2 linked regions of the Caenorhabditis elegans genome follow. The protein of the gene in region 2 purifies or fractionates together with the protein of the main gene of each other region. This does not show direct contact. Each region holds a gene or a part of one and is shown on either strand. Other genes may lie near its edges.

Evidence for each region. Proteins that work in one complex are often made in the same cells at the same time.
Region 1: the proteins of dnj-21 (region 2) and C34C12.8 fractionate together in Caenorhabditis elegans (co-fractionation; one large-scale study listed by BioGRID). This does not show direct contact.

The regions. Positions count from the first base shown.
Region 1 is NC_003281.10:3,458,049-3,462,661, forward strand, and holds C34C12.8 (GrpE protein homolog, mitochondrial), read left to right. Parts: upstream 1-2,357; 5' UTR 2,358-2,362; coding exon 2,363-2,412; intron 2,413-2,464; coding exon 2,465-2,568; intron 2,569-2,636; coding exon 2,637-2,878; intron 2,879-2,937; coding exon 2,938-3,153; intron 3,154-3,274; coding exon 3,275-3,376; 3' UTR 3,377-3,542; downstream 3,543-4,613. Other genes in the region: C34C12.2 (Fibronectin type-III domain-containing protein), read left to right, coding at 1-961, 1,424-1,705, 1,773-1,997; pph-6 (Serine/threonine-protein phosphatase 6 catalytic subunit), read left to right, coding at 3,656-3,732, 4,254-4,343, 4,400-4,512. UniProt on the Caenorhabditis elegans protein: Essential component of the PAM complex, a complex required for the translocation of transit peptide-containing proteins from the inner membrane into the mitochondrial matrix in an ATP-dependent manner.
Region 2 is NC_003279.8:5,674,031-5,678,533, forward strand, and holds dnj-21 (Mitochondrial import inner membrane translocase subunit TIM14), read left to right. Parts: upstream 1-2,796; 5' UTR 2,797-2,805; coding exon 2,806-2,931; intron 2,932-2,980; coding exon 2,981-3,125; intron 3,126-3,470; coding exon 3,471-3,538; 3' UTR 3,539-3,616; downstream 3,617-4,503. Other genes in the region: T19B4.5 (uncharacterized protein), read left to right, coding at 379-442, 529-905, 953-1,468, 1,591-1,662, 2,035-2,208. UniProt on the Caenorhabditis elegans protein: Probable component of the PAM complex, a complex required for the translocation of transit peptide-containing proteins from the inner membrane into the mitochondrial matrix in an ATP-dependent manner.

The sequences.
Region 1 (4,613 bases), on a different chromosome or scaffold from region 2:
TGATCAAACCCAATTTATTGTACATCTACAACGAACAATTGAACGATTGGAAAAAGAAAAAGCTGCGTTAACGGAGAAATTGACAATGCGAGAGGATGAGATTAAAGTGTTTTCAGTGGAATTTGTGAATATTCAAAAAGAAAATGTTAAACTAATGAAGGAGAACAAAGCTAAAGAATCACAAATTTCAAACCAATCGATTCAAGTTCGAAATTCGTGGAAATTCGCAGATTTATTCAAGAAAGAGCTGCAGAAAAGTCGGAAAGACGTGTCGGAAGTGAAATGGAAAATTGATAAAATCGAAAAAAAAGTCGGCATCAAAAAGCCTACACCAAGGAAGAAGCCTGATGTAAAGCTGATAAATCCAGAGGATATTTCATTGATGTCTGACAGAACCCAGGATGGGGAAGATTCAAGTGACTTCGGAAGTCCTCTAGCGAAATATCTGAAGCCTGATCAGCCCAGCACAAGTTCTGCGTGCTATGGGAAGCCGTTCTATTTTGAAAGCACCAGCAGCAGCTCCAGAAAGCCCATCACAGCATCTCCAGGCCCTCCAGGCCGAACACAAATTTCGGATCAGCTGAACACTGGAGAAGTTAGATATGTGGTGAATTCAGGAAAACCATTCAATTTTAGCTCGGAAAGTAACTCCAGGAACTTGAAGCTTATTCCAGGATATATTAAGAGACCAGAATTTCGCTATATCAAGCCAGAAGGCTTCACCTCAGCCTCTTACAAAGCTCAGTCAGAAGGAATGAGCTCGTTTTTGAAGACTGGAAGCTCTGCAACTCCTGAAAATTCGAAGAAATCAGCCCATTTTGACATGCCGGATATTTCCTCAACGCCTTACAAATCTCACGTGGTGGTGGAATCGGACGAAATGAATAGTTCTTCGAGTACAATTGGAGGATTTGAGTCAGAAAAGAAAGATAATGGAGCTCTCGGAAGCCAGAAATCTCCTGTTAGTTATAACGAAAAAAATTGCTAAAAAATTTACTTAAAATTCCGCGAAATTTTGCCAATCTGTCAGTATCGATTTTTTCAATTTTTCAGGAAAAAAAAGTCAAATTTTAAGGTTTTTTCAATAAAAAACTTTTGAAAATGAAAAAATCCGCCAAGACGATTTGTTCGATGGGGCGCGCTTGCATTATTTTTTGTTTTTGTTTTTTTGTCCTAATTATTTCACTGAATTCCTTCATGTTTTGTGTATTTTTACTGAAAATTTGAAAAGCTAATGAACAATTTGCATTTATCTTGACTTTTCATTCAAATTTTCAGTGAAAATTCACAAAAAATGAAGAAGTTCAGAGAATTGATGAGAAAAAAAAAACAAAAATTAAAATAATGCAAGCGCGCTCTATTGAACAAAGTCTCTTGGCGGTAATTTGAATATGAAACTGGCAAAAATGGAAAATTATTGCAGATGCCCGACATTGCCACAGCACTTCACAATATATTTGATTCAAAAGAAGTTCAAAGTAGTTCTTCAACCACCGGAAGCTCTGCACCGCCCGAAAATTCGAAGAAATCAGATCATTTTGACATGCCGGATATCTCCTCAACTCTTTACAGATCTCGTGTTGAGCCAATCAGCAGCTCTTCCAGTGGATCTACCAGCACAAGTGCTCCGAGATATGTGCCAAAACCAATAGCCCAGCCAGCTCGATATGCAATTCCAAGTCCGGGTGCTTTGAATGCCTTAAGAGTGAGTGACAGCCGGAATCGCTCAGTTTACTGGAGCGCACTTGCAATAATACATACTTTTTTTTCAGCGTCCCCCAGAATGGAAAGGTCAGCGCCGACATGCGCCGAGTTACGTGAAATCCAGAGAAAGCGTCACGTTCAGAGGATGCTCCAGATTTCCAGTCACATCACCGCATTTCGCGAAAGCTCACCTGGAACCTGTGACTGATGGAAAAGATGATTCGAAAATTGTCAAATATCGATTTGTACCGAAGCGACCAGATTTTGATGGAGAACGCGAACATAAGAAGTGACAAATCTTGGTTTTTTTGTGTTTAAGGCTTTTAGAGCATTGATAATAAATTTTTTGTTGGATTTGCTGTGTTTTTTTGCGGAAATACACAGATTTTTGCAGAAAAAGTTAAGAAAAAACTGCTACAGTTTGCCCTTTTCCACTTTAAATTGCCGCTTAAAAACTCCTCGAAAAGAGTGTGCAAAGCATGGAGACGCAGACACGCACGAAAATCACGCCAGCACGTTACTGGCGCACTTGAGTCATGTGCTGGCGCATTTCTTGTCATGATGAAATTTATTAATTTTTTCTTCGTTTTTTACCAATTTCCGCCGATTTTTCGTTTTTTATTCCTAATTTCTTCAAATTTTGGCAATTTCAGACAATATGCTGCGCAAAGGAGTGTCTTTCGTCGGCCAGGCTGTTCAACAAACGCTGTAAGTTCCTTGAATTTTGAATAACGGTGAAAATCAAATTTTTTCATTGCAGGAAAACTCAGAAAAACTTGCGCATTCAAAGATTCAGCGCCACGGCATCACAATCATCGGAAGAAGTCAATTATGAGATTAGAAAAGACGGAAAGAGACTCAGAGGTAGCGATTTTTACTCTAAAACAAATTCTAAATTCTAAAAACTGATATAATATTTAAAAAAAAACCAGGAGCCGACTATGAAGAAATTGTTCTTACTTCGATTGCCGGCGAGGACAAGACACAGATTCCAAAGGGTGCTTTTGATGTTCTTCTCAAGGAATACGACGATTTGCAGGCCGAAAGCTTGGATTTTAAGGATAAATATCAAAGATCGCTTGCTGAAACTGAAAATGTTCGTCGGCGAGGTATCAAGCAAACCGACGATGCTAAGGTTTTTGCAATCCAATCATTCTGCAAAGATTTACTTGAGGTTCGATTTTTAAAATCAAAATCAACCGAAAAACAATTAAAATAATTCCAAATTTGCAGGTCTCCGATATTCTCGACATTGCCGTCAAGTCTGTGAAGCCAGAAGATCTGGAATCGGGAGGAAAAGCTCTGAAAGATCTTTTCGAAGGAGTTTCAATGACCCGTACTGTCATGGCAAAGACATTCGCAAAGCATGGCCTTGTGACCGTGGATCCAACCAATGAAAAGTTCGACCCCAATCTCCACGAAGCCGTTTTCCAGATTCCATCTGCTAATGTTAGTGCTAACCGCCCGAATTTTCCGAAATAAAAGAGCCAAATCTTGTATTTTTTGAACAATTTGGGCTTATTTAATCCTTTTTAAATGCCACAAAATGCTTAATTTCCTCCATTTTCAGGCCAAACAACCTGTCGGACATATCGAAGTGTGTACAAAGATCGGCTACAGCCTGAAAGAACGTCCAATTCGGCCTGCTCAAGTTGGAGTCGTCTCTAAATAATTTTCTTTTAATTTTCCTCTGGTTTTTTAATGTTTTTCCGGTTTTTTGTAGTTTTTTTTTGAATAGCTAGTAATTTTTATTGTTTTTCTGTTTTTTCCGTTATTTCATCACACTCCAATCACTTTTTCCCGCCGTTTTATAGGATTCGAATGAACAATTTTTGAGTTTCAATTCCCTTTTTTCCACTTTTTCGATAGGTTTTCAGCCATTTTTCATATATTTTTTAATTTTAAACAGGAAAAAAGCTTCTTTTTCATTTAAAACCGTAAAATTTTCAGAATGATCGACACAAACCTTCTTCGGGTGACAGTGTGCGATGAAGGAGAGCTCGAAAAGAGCACAACGCATTTTATTGGGTACCAAATTTTGGATATTTCAAGCGAAAAATGCGATTTTCCAAGCACAAATCGCTTTGTGTCGATTTACGCAGCTCGTGTACTCCTCGAGGAGAAGATTTTTATAGTTTTTGGAGAAAATGCTCAATTTTTGACCAATTTAACATTAAAATTGTCATTTTAATTATTTTAAATGAAAATCGACTACAAATCATCGTTTCCAGCAGTTTTCCATATTAAAAATGCTGAATTTCAGCATAAAAATTACCAAAAAAGCGAAAAATCGGCGATTTGAACGTTAAACTTTTAAAAAACAGCGAAAATGTAAAATCTAGCATTTTAGTCGAAAACTAGTATTTTTCTCCTCGGGGAGTACACGAGCTGCGTAAATCTACATTAGGCGATTTGAGCTTGGAAATTGATTTTTTTTACTCAAAATTGAAAAATTCTGCGAAAAATTTCGAATTTTTTTGCAAATTTCTAAAAAAAAACTTAAATTTCAGCTCCAAAATTATACAAAACTTAATTTTTTTCATTTCCAGATCTCGAAAAATAGAGCCGGAGCAATGGATTACGTGGGCGAGCGAATGCAAATACTTGCCCGAATCTGACGCTGTTGCTCTTTGTGCAACGTAAGAAAAAAGCAATTTTCAGCAATTTTCGGCTCAAAAACTGAACATTTTTTCAGATTAATCGATCGTCTATCACTGGAAGCCAATGTGGTGCCCGTTTCGTCGCCTGTCACAATTTGTGGAGATATTCATGGACAATTTTATGATTTACTCGAATTATTCAAAACTGGTACGGAATCGGATTCGAATTGGAAATGTCACAAAATTGGATGAAAAATTCAAAAAATCAGCCGAAAAATCGAGAAACTTTCCGGGAAAATCGGAAAATTA
Region 2 (4,503 bases):
TCATTGAAATAGCTTTCATAAGTATTAGGAAATGCATTATTTTGTTCTTTCGATAGTGTTCGATGGTATTACTACAGAAATGTTCATTTTAAAGTTGTCTTCTACGATCGGTAAAAACTGACGATTAACGCGTTTGTTTACAATTGTTTTAATGTTTTAGTTTTAAAGTTTTAAAAACGATTAGGAGTTTTTCATTTTTATTTACACTCATTTTTCTCCTCTCAGCCCTCATTTATCCGACTTGGCGTGTTAAGTCATGTCTCGAATTTTTATAGGTTTTCTCTCTGTATGATTCCGTCTCGGCGACAGCGATACTTTCGCCCGAACTCACCGCCAGTGACATCATCTTCTTCCGGAGCAGGAAGCAGTCACCAGACTATGAATCCATCGAATATGAATGTTTTAGAGCAGGCCGAATTAGTTATCGATGGAGGTGATCCAGGTAATATTTACGAGTTTTATTTACCACCTTTGCAAACACAGCTTTTCGACTTTTTGCATGAGGTATATTAAATTCAAATTTTCCAGGGGATGAACAACAAGTTGCCCATGAAGAAATTGTAGACGACGGTTCGACTGAAATGGTTGTTGATCACCATCATCATCCACAACTTCGTGGTAATCCAATGCATCATCATCACTATGATAACCGTCAATCAGCTCCTGCTTATCAAGTTCCACAACAACAATCTCAATCAATTCGTAGAGGAGTTGGCCGTCCGATGGCTCCTCGTCCACAAAGTTACCCACATAATATGGATATGGTTCAGAAATTGCAAAATAAAAATGTCTATATGCCAGCTCAGCAGAGACCTCAGACAAGAATTTCTCCAGCCGGCGCGAGAATTGTCAGCTTTGCTGGAAGAAAACGAGATAATTCTGATGGGCTTCCTCCAGGTGTAAAGGTAATTTTTTTGGTCGAGATATTAAATTTATTAATATTCCTTTTCAGAAAATGAACATGCCCGCAGCTCGCCCACATCAGCAGCAAACTCAACAACAATCTCATCTGCAGCAAGGTCAACAATCACAGAAAAATCTGCAACCTGTCAAAGTAGTTCGTCTGGCTTCAAGTGTGGCTCGTGCAAATCCGACAGCATCCGAACATGCTCTTATCGAAATCGAGAATAATATCAAACAAACAATAGAAGATGCAAAAGTCGATACTGAGAGATTAAGAGAATTACAAGAAGCTGACTTCTCACAGGATGAATATCATCAATATCTTGGAATGTTGATTATGGATCTGGAAAGATCAAATGAGGCGAACTCGACTCTGACAACATATTATCGCGAACGACAACGACATGAAAAGACTATTTCGGAAGCCAGAGAAAATGCATTTTCAGCTAGAATTCGTCAGTTGGAGACTGAAAATCGAAAATTGAGGGATTCGATTCATGTGATGTATTATGGAAAGTTCAATGAGGCTGGAGGTCATAACAATATTTATCGAAATGATCATATGGTAATTTTCAGTTAAATTACATTTTATTAAATATGAATTACAATATGTTTTTTTACAACTTTCAAAATTGATAAAACAATAAAAATAAGATATCCCTTTTGCAAACATTTATTGGATTTCAGGGTCAAATGATGGTTGAAGAGCCCGAAGAGCATGTTGTTATTGAAGGACACGTGGGCAATAATCAAGAAGGAGTACGTTTTAAAAAAAAGTCTATTATACAAAAAAAAGAGCTTCAATGTTTTGAAATGCAGAATAAAATCTTGAACCTGTAAATTATTTTCTCAAAGCTATGTAAACGGAAAACCAATGACTGAGAACTGAAATTCCATTTTTATTACTAATTTATCTTAAAAGTACACCTTCTGGGGAAATGCAGTCGAAACTCTCCAAAAAACTTAACTGCTTTGTCATCGAGCAAATTTGGAAGAAAGTTTGAATTATTAATTTATAGTGAAATTACGAATTTAGTAAACATCTTGGTTTTTTTAAACTTATCAAAATGTTCGATTTTGTTTCTAAACAATAATAAAAAAGTTCGTAATAATAATAATAATTTATTTTAGGAAGAAGTTCCACAAGAGTGGATTGTCGAGGAGACTGTTGATGAACATCGAATGCATTTGGAAGGAATGGAAGCAGATGATCATATGGTTGAGGATCAACAACAACAGGATGAAGAACATGAAGATGTTAAAGATAAAAACTTGCTCGCTGGTGGAAGTGGAAGATCTGGATGAAATTTTTAACTTTTTATCTGGAAACCTGATTAATTTATTCGTTTCATCCTCTCTTTCATTCATCTATATTCTTCTGTTGTTAAATTATTCCTTTATGCCTACCGGAATCGCAAACTAATCAAAACAGACTAAACTTTACGAAACTACGGTCAAAAACTGTCACATTGCGTTCCAAATATTATTTATGTTTCCAATCCCAAATTTTGAAAATTAATTTACAAAATTCTCGGGTCTTATCGATTTCATCACTTTTCTGTTTAACTTTCCAATTTTTAAAATTTACAATTCTTTTTAATCTCACCTTAAGCTCCACAGGATCCCATTTTCATTCTTGATTATCAAATTAACATCTCTAGAAGGCAGGCCCTTCTTTCTTCCCACCCCCCCCCCCCCCCCCCCCACCTCTCTCATTATTCCCAGAACTAGTTTAAGAGCATTTTAAGCTACACTTTGAAATATCCAATACAAAATAAAGTTATAGTTTGAAATTTTTTATTCTGATGAATCTGTTGATATTTCCTGTTTAATACAGGTTCTGTACCTAAAAAGGATTACCGAAGATAGTAAATTCAAAATATTGTTTTGTAGAAAAATAAAATGACGGGAGGTTTAATTGTTGCCGGTTTGGGTCTCGCTGCAGTCGGATTTGGAGCTCGATATGTCCTTCGAAATCAGGCGCTTATTAAAAAAGGAATGGAGGCGATTCCAGTTGCTGGTGGAGCTGTTAGTGTTTATTTTTTGAAAGTTTTAATTTAAAAATGCCAAATTTCAGTTTAGCAACTATTATCGTGGAGGTTTCGATCAAAAGATGTCACGAGCCGAAGCAGCGAAAATTTTGGGCGTTGCGCCGTCAGCAAAACCGGCGAAAATTAAGGAAGCTCATAAAAAAGTCATGATTGTAAATCATCCAGATAGAGGTAATTAAAATTAATTTCTCTGAAATGAAATTTTAAATTAAAGTATCGTATTTTCGTTATCCGAAATGCAAAGTTGAAGGCGGGTCTCGCCCCACTTTATTCGGATTTTTCCTTTTTAAAAATTGCGAGCAAAATACTAAAAATATTTTACTTTTTAGTTTTAACCCCTCATACTTTAAAAAAAGTTAAGAAAAAAACCCTAATTCTTTTTCTCTTTTTTCCACTCATTTGCTCTTCTCACTCATGCTCAATGAAGCAGCAAATAATGAGTTACTCTTCCAAAATTAGCTTAGAGCTTCATTAAACATGAATTGCCAGATTTTAAAATGTTTTTCTCATTTTCAGGAGGATCTCCATATTTGGCTGCCAAAATCAACGAGGCCAAAGATTTGATGGAATCATCGAAAAGCTGATCGAAAAAAACTATTATTTCTTCTATTTTATGTTTTGTTTTCATTAGTGTGATGTAGAATCAATGAAATATCAGATTTAAACAGATTTTTTTAGAGTTCAAATGTGGATAGAAATACCAGATATAAATCTTCTTTTCGTGTTTTTTTAAAACTTTTCCCTCGGGACTTATTGAAAAGTCGGTTCTTTTCTTTATTTTTGAAAAAAAATTCAATAACTTTCGGTCATTTTTAAATTTCAGTAAAAAATTCCGATAAATCTGTAGTTCCTGTAATCTTTTACGATTTTTTTTTTCAATTTTCAAAAAAAAACACAATTTTTTTCAATTATTCCCTCAAAAAACAGCGAAAAATCTAACAGCATTCTTTTCCTTTTATCCTAAATAACATAATTCAAAATAAGAACTTTGAGCAGTTCAGACAATCTTATCTTAGATGTCTTATCAATTAATATTGATTTTTCATTCGTTATAATTTCAAATGATAAGCTATCAAATGTGTATCTTCTTGTTTGTAACCGACCAGTTACCATTTAAAAGATACTCAGATAGTCATACAAAAAACATTTATATAGGCGGTGCACTTTTCTCCATTTTTCTGAGTGGAAAAACGCGTAGTCACCACTTAAACGTCAACGGAACCTAATTTGATATCCGTGAGGGAGATGCTCCAGACTCCGCCCACTTCTTTTCTCTTCTCCCATTTTCTCTGCTTTCTCCCTTTCGTTTTTCATCTTTTATATGCAAATATATTCCTCCCTTCCACAATTTATAATGTGAACGTTGATATTTGGAATTAGAAAAACAAATTATTTTCAAAAGCCTACGCTTCTTCAATTAAAAATCACATGGCTCCTGAATAAGAATTGAATGAAAATTCATTAAAATAAAAATTCAATTTACCTCCAAATAATCTGTCTTTAAAATTTGTCACTTTGTCATTATTTTGATACCCTCTAATTTAATTGA